2 linked regions of the Bombyx mori genome follow. The main gene of each other region encodes a partner of the protein of the gene in region 2 in a complex. Links are inferred from orthologs where the notes say so. Each region holds a gene or a part of one and is shown on either strand. Other genes may lie near its edges.

The links. Proteins that work in one complex are often made in the same cells at the same time.
Region 1: ATP-dependent RNA helicase WM6 (region 2) and THO complex subunit 6 share a complex: the UniProt entries of both Homo sapiens proteins name them as parts of the transcription/export (TREX) complex. The link is inferred for Bombyx mori from reciprocal best matches to the Homo sapiens genes DDX39B and THOC6.

What each region holds. Positions count from the first base shown.
Region 1 is NC_085116.1:3,183,582-3,187,529, reverse strand, and holds THO complex subunit 6, read left to right. Parts: upstream 1-1,215; 5' UTR 1,216-1,392; coding exon 1,393-1,496; intron 1,497-1,578; coding exon 1,579-1,968; intron 1,969-2,093; coding exon 2,094-2,256; intron 2,257-3,008; coding exon 3,009-3,329; 3' UTR 3,330-3,374; downstream 3,375-3,948. Other genes in the region: serine/arginine repetitive matrix protein 2, read right to left, coding at 148-386. UniProt on the Homo sapiens protein: Component of the THO subcomplex of the TREX complex which is thought to couple mRNA transcription, processing and nuclear export, and which specifically associates with spliced mRNA and not with unspliced pre-mRNA.
Region 2 is NC_085122.1:1,018,155-1,021,765, forward strand, and holds ATP-dependent RNA helicase WM6, read left to right. Parts: upstream 1-1,140; 5' UTR 1,141-1,532; coding exon 1,533-2,810; 3' UTR 2,811-2,960; downstream 2,961-3,611. UniProt on the Homo sapiens protein: Involved in nuclear export of spliced and unspliced mRNA. Component of the TREX complex which is thought to couple mRNA transcription, processing and nuclear export, and specifically associates with spliced mRNA and not with unspliced pre-mRNA.

The DNA.
Region 1 (3,948 bases), on a different chromosome or scaffold from region 2:
GCAAGAATTACAAAATAATGTTGATTTATAAAGCCCAACGTGTGCCAACCTCATATCATAAAAATTTAAGAGACCATCCCCGGAACAAATCTCCAATACCATGAATCCGATTTCTGTGTATTTGTTGTATTTATGCTAACTACTCACCCTTGTTCTTCCAGGCTATCTTCCAACTCTGCACACTTGACTTCAATCTTCCTTTTCCTCTCATGATCGAGTATTTCTCTATTTGGTTGTTTGTTTGACGCCGAATCCAACTTGGCGATCTCATCTTCAGTCCGGTAGTTGACGGAGTCTTTTGTTTTTCTTACCGTGGCCCAATTTCTCTGTACGTAGCCATTTGTACCGGAGCCCCGTGGCGTCGTCAACCCGATCCCATTATACATTATTTCGTATTATATACCTAAAACCAATCGTAACACTTACGGTGTGCAAATTGAAGGTTCTGAATTAGGCCACGAGATTAGAAACTCCCAGAAAAGTTAGTAAAATAATCTATAAATAACAATTTCTCTTTCAAAAAATGTATCAACGTTAATGATCAATAACTCACAATATTATTAGATTATATGTTTATGTTTAAAAAGAATTGAACACGACCATCTTGCTTGGTTTTGATTTTTTTAGATTGAATTATTCATAGACAACGAAATGGCTATGAATTTAGATGTTTCATTTTATCTATAGTTTTTAACTGACAATGACAAAGTCAAGCAAATCAATTGGAACTTTAGAATAACTTTTCTATTTTGAGATCGCTAAACAATAAGATAAAAAGCATAATTTTTGAATAAAAATAATACATGTAACATGATTTAATGAGTTTTCGGCAAACAAAATGAAATATATGAAAAGAAACTTAGGCAAATGTCAATAAAACCACAATATTTTTGTTTTAGATAAGAGTACATAATAATATAGTGTAATAAGAGTTTTAGTAAGAGTAAAGTGAAGTACCTATTTCATTTTATTAAAATGTTTCTAACCTATAATAGTAATGAGTCAATAAATTAATACGTGATTTATTAAGTTGATTTGTGGAAAGATAGCTTCGTCTATATAGCTTCCTTTGTTAAAAAAATAACCTTAGGTCTTACTAAATTTCTGTTCTTATACAGGGTGAATTTGCCTTAATTTTATCTCAATTCGTCATAAAGAGCTATAGAGCTAAATCATTTTGGTTTTTTAAAATAGAGCATGGACACTGTTCCCTTTGCCTAAAGAGTGTATGCCGCAAAAAAATCGCTGCATTCGAAATAGAGGTTATATGTAGCTTTAAATTGTGTTGTTTACCTATGGTTGTTTATGTTTCTTTTTCAATTAAAATATTGCATGGCATCTAGAAAAACTGACGAAGTAGTCTAGTTTCTGAGCAAACACAAAACTTTTACCATGTTGAATAAAATGTTGTATAACACTGTTTTATCTCAGACTTTATCGCCGTGTGGTAAATATTTAGTGGCCGGCAATATTTATGGAGATCTTGCTGTATTTGAGTATGTTATTTGTATTAAATTTATAGAAGTATATTTTAATATTTGGAGAGGTTTATAAATTCATTCTAAATTTTTGTTACAGCCTAGATCGTATTTTAAATCCAGTACTAGAATTATTATCTGTTGAATACAACAAACCAAAACATATACATTCTATAGATTCAAAAAAACAGATTTGTAGTCTAGTTTCAACGGAAAAATTCCTTATAATTGGTACCGTTAATGAAATATGCGGATGGGACTGGAAGGCTGTTGTTTCTGTTAAATTATCAAAACCTGTATGGAGCATAAAGATTCCTTCCCAAACTTTTTTGGACTACAACGATGTGAACTGCATGTGGCTATCTCAAGACAGTGAGAAGCTGTATGCTGGTTGTGGAGACAATAATGTGTATGTGTTTAATTTGGAAGATGGGAGCCTTATTTCAACTTATAAGGGACATAATAATTTTATTCATTCTATTCATGGAAAGTAAGTTGTTTGTTTGTTTATTTGCCTTATTTCAGCTGCTAATATATTTGCCCTGACAGTGATATACATATATGCTTATGGCTAATATTACAGTAATAAAGAAGTTATTTAAAAAAAAATTTCAGAAACCAACAGATTATTTCAGCAGGCGAAGATGGTTTGGTTATGCTTTGGGATACTAGAAGTGGAAAATCACACAATAAATTGGAACCGCACACTAATAATAAGGTCAGCAGACCTGATATTGGCAAGTGGATTGGCTCAGCAGCTCTTGGAGATGACTGGATTGTAAGTTCATCTATCATCAATCTAATTATTCATACATATTATCATTAAAATGCCAGAGGTGAAAATAAAAACAAAAATGAAAATCAGTGAAAAAATTATTTTTGTTTAATAGGGAATTTACATAATAATATTGTGACTGATATTTTTCTGTGTGTGTTGTAAAAGGCGATTTATTTTATTTAAAACCCTCTTAAGCCATCAATAGCATTCCTAAGGAAAGTTGTGTCGAAGTCGTTGTGGCCTAAAGGATAAGATGTCCGGTGCAATCATATCTAGCAATGCAACAATGTTAGAATCCCACAAGCCAGGTATCAATTTTTCTAATGAAATACGTACTTGACCAATGTTCACAATTGATTTCACGGTGAAGGAATAACATTGTGTAATGAAACTCAAACCTGCAAAATTATAATTTGCATAATTACTGGTGGTAAGACCTCTTGTGAGTCTGCACGGGTAGGTACCATCACCCTGTCTATTTCTGCAGTGAAGCAGTAATGTGTTTCGGTTTGAAGGGTGGGGTAGCCGTTGTAACTATACTGAGACCTTAGAACTTATATCTCAAGATGGATGGCGCATTTACATTGTAGAATTTTTTTTATTGCTTAGATTGTGGACGAGCTCACAGCTCACTTGGTGTTAAGTGGTTACTAGAGCCCATAGACATCTACAACGTACTGATGTCTATGGGCTCTGGTAACCACTTAACACCTGGGTGATAATTAATAATGGAATATATAAAAAATTTACAGGTATGCGGTGGTGGACCTCGATTGTCTCTGTGGCACCTTCGTTCATTAGATGCAGTGACAGTCTTTGACATTCCAGACAATGGGATTCATGTGTCATTCTTTCATGATGACTGTGTGTTTGCCGGTGGTACTTCTAAACATTTTTACCAAATGAGCTACTCGGGTGAGGTGAGAGTAGAACTACCAGTGTCTGCCACGACCATATACAGTGCGGTGCTAAGAACTAAATACAGCACCCTGTTAAGTTTAGCCGGTTCCAGTCCAGAAATAGATTTGTGCACGTCTCTTAATTACAAAGATCAAGTTTTACATTTTCGATAGTTATAAGCATATTTAGGTGGAAAAAATTAAATGAAATTAAATCGAGACCTAAGTTTTATTATATGAGTCGACTATTATCAAAGCCGGTAATGTGACTTTTGGAAAATTATTGGTAAATCAGAAAAATGAATTATTGACTTTGTATTCCATTGGTAGTCACAAAACTCTTATGAGCGACATCTTAGATAAATAACAGGTTAAGTATTAACCTTTATTTAATGCAGGTTTTGAACCGTATTCTTTGAAGGAGACTATTATATTCAAATCAATCTGTATTGACATATCAATAACATTTTTTTGTCCAAATGCACAGATTGCCACCTTTGATAATAGACGACTAATATACAGTATTTACTAATATTATGATAAGTTCAGTAAAATTTACTCTAGGATATTTAAATAACTTAATTTTTCATTTTCTCAGTCACCTGTACATATTTTGAGCTTTTAATGGACAATGTAAAATATGCATGTATGCAACATTAAAACATCAATAAAGTTTTTTGGATAACAATATTTAACCAATTGCGCCCAGTCGGTACTTGTGTAAATTATAGTTACTTGCTCCAGCCTCAAATTGAAACAGCTCATAAGTTCAATCGCCTCCTATTTACGTCTA
Region 2 (3,611 bases):
TAAAATTCTATGAAAAATTACCCATATTTATCTATAATACGAAATGATATTAATTTGTTTTTCGTAGTTTCCTTCCTTCTTGCGTCGATAATCCTCAGTGCTGAGGGTCGCGGCCTCCTCTAATAACTTTCTCCTGCATCATCTTGCGCCATTCCTGCCTGTCCTCGGCTGTATGGATAGCAACGTGGACTGAAGTTTTGAGAGTGGAGCGTATTTGGTCCGACCAGCGCATTGGATTTCTGCCTCTGTGCCCTCTCCCGCATACCTTGCCTGTTACCAGCAACTTTTCCAGATTCTCACCTCTCTTTCTGGCGATATGTCCAAAGATCTCTAAACTCCTCCGCGCGCATGTAGTGCGGAGGCGCATTGGAATCTTGAGCTCGGTAAGAATGGATTCGTTGGTTCTGTGTTCTGTCCAACGAATCCCGAGCATTTTCCTCCAGCACCACATCTCAAACGCGTCGATGCGTTGGCGGTCGGCTTTCTTGAGGGTCCAAGTCTCTGCGCCGTAGAAAAAAATGCCACCCAAGCACAGTCCATTTGGAACATAGCCCTCTTTGCCATACTGATTCGCCTTCTGAGGTCCTTTTCGGAGGTTCCATTACTAGCTATGACGGAGCCCAGATAAATGAAATCCTCTACGTCTTCCAGGTTTAGCTTATTCGTAGTTTAATAAGTTATTATTGTTAGTAGTATTATTTACTAGTCGAAATATAAATTTTTAATTATCTTATGATGAGAATCTTATATTAATGAGAAAGATATTCAACAAAAATAGTTTCGTTCTAATAAATTAGCATAGTAATAGTACAGTGAACTAGCAATTTATTTTGGTAATTCTGAATTTAAACAAACATATTGATGAGAAGAATTCATTTTTACTTTGCAAATTTGTAAATACACGCTCTGTAGCAATGTACGGACATATAATAATATGAAGAAACAATAATAGCATCTACAAATATATATGTACTACGTGGTACTACATTTAATAAAATTAATACAACATTTATTAATTAAATTAATGAAATTGTGGTTTTAAAGTTTTAGGGGTGTATAAAAAATGGGGGGCGCTGAAAAATAATTGATATTCAAAGGGGGCGGTAAAAGAAATAAGTTTGATAATCACTGCTCTAAGTATTTCATTTTTAAATACTCATAAAATGGGTCATTTCAAAAAATAATATGACATGAAAAAAATCATATAAAAGACATATTATTCACGTGCTCACGTGAAAATAAAAACTATGATTGCATTATAGCTGTTCGCCTGTGTTCTTCTTTTTACTTTACACAAATAAAATTTCAAATTAATCAAAAATCAAATTGCAAATTTAATTCTCGTAAACTGTTGAGTGGCGAAAAAGCCAAGTGGCACGTCATATTTAACTGTCAAACATAACAAAAAAAGTTTGGATTGACGCCAAAAAAGCCGAAGCCGCCATTATTGTGAAATCGTATTGTAAAAATAAATTTCACGTGCTCACAGTGAGTACGATACAGTAAACAAGCTAATTAAACTAAAGTAAATCATGGCTGACAACGACGATCTTCTCGACTACGAAGATGAAGAACAAGCAGATCAACAGACTGCTGACGGGTCTACCGAAGTGGCGCCAAAGAAGGAGGTTAAAGGATCCTACGTATCCATCCACAGTTCTGGTTTTAGAGACTTCTTACTTAAGCCAGAGATACTCCGCGCTATTGTTGATTGCGGTTTTGAGCATCCTTCCGAAGTTCAACACGAATGCATTCCGCAAGCCGTCCTCGGTATGGACATACTTTGCCAAGCCAAGTCCGGTATGGGTAAGACAGCCGTGTTTGTTTTGGCAACATTGCAGCAGCTGGAACCCTCCGAGAGCCACGTTTACGTGCTTGTAATGTGCCACACCAGAGAGTTGGCTTTCCAAATAAGTAAGGAGTACGAGCGTTTCTCGAAATATATGTCAGGAGTCAGAGTATCAGTATTCTTTGGTGGTATGCCAATTCAGAAAGACGAGGAAGTCCTTAAGACAGCATGTCCTCACATTGTAGTGGGAACTCCCGGTAGAATTTTGGCATTAGTAAACAGTAAGAAACTTAATTTGAAACATTTAAAACACTTCATCCTTGATGAGTGTGATAAGATGCTGGAATCTCTAGACATGAGGCGAGATGTGCAGGAGATATTCCGGAACACTCCTCACGGGAAACAGGTGATGATGTTCTCAGCCACATTGAGTAAAGAAATCAGACCTGTGTGTAAGAAATTTATGCAAGACCCAATGGAAGTTTATGTAGATGATGAAGCCAAACTCAAGCTACATGGACTGCAGCAACATTATGTGAAACTAAAAGAAAATGAGAAGAATAAAAAACTCTTCGAACTACTTGATGTATTGGAGTTCAATCAGGTGGTTATTTTTGTGAAATCAGTACAGCGCTGCATAGCTCTGGCACAACTGCTCACCGACCAAAACTTCCCTGCCATTGGTATCCACAGAAATATGACCCAGGATGAGCGTCTCTCCCGCTATCAACAGTTCAAGGACTTCCAAAAAAGGATCCTGGTTGCAACAAATTTGTTTGGCCGGGGAATGGACATTGAAAGGGTAAATATTGTCTTCAACTATGACATGCCTGAAGATTCAGATACATATCTACATCGTGTCGCCCGCGCAGGAAGGTTTGGTACCAAAGGTCTGGCCATTACTATGATATCTGATGAAAATGATGCCAAGATCTTAAACCAAGTACAAGATCGTTTCGATGTGAACATTACAGAGCTGCCTGAAGAAATTGAGCTCTCTACCTACATCGAAGGACGATAGATTAAGTTTCATTCCCATACCTATTTACTGCTGTGGCTCATTTTGTTGGTAATTAGACTGGCCTGCTTTAACATTGATTTGTAATACATTGAGCCACATTTACTGTTTAACTAGGTTTATCTAATTAAAGTGACATTTCATATTGTGATATCTGAGTGTTTTATTTCTTTACCAACAATTTGGGAGCTTTCATCGTTATCAGTAAGACAGGCTGTGATATGTTTAACTTTAGAATGTAGACAGGAAATTGATATATTTATTTTGACCATGTTCATATTAATGTAACAAAATATCCATTTTGAACATATCATTTTGTCTTTATGACTTCATATTTTTATATTCTTAGACATGCAAAATTTACTGATATTGGATGTTAATACTTCACACAAATACTACTGGATGCATTTGGATAAAATTTCATGCCTAAAAACTTCAGAATAAAACAAGCCATAATTTAATTTAGAGTACCTACGTACAGTGTGAGAGGTGGGGTGCAAGTAGTTTCAAGAAATTACTGTTTTTAGAGCCTTGCTATAGGATAATTATACAGGAACGCGACCAGTTTTAACTGAAAAGTACAGAAGGCCCATGTCCAGTAACTGGTATCCACTACAAAATCAAAATCTATAATTGTCTGCCTACACTATATTGATTTAATTAAACTAAATTAGAAACACGTCCAAAGATTTTTTTATTATATAAACTGGCATTTTAATCTATGTTCACAAAAGACGAAAAAGCGATAATGCTAAAAACATACTTTATTTTAGCACCATTTGCATACAAAATAAATATTTAAAT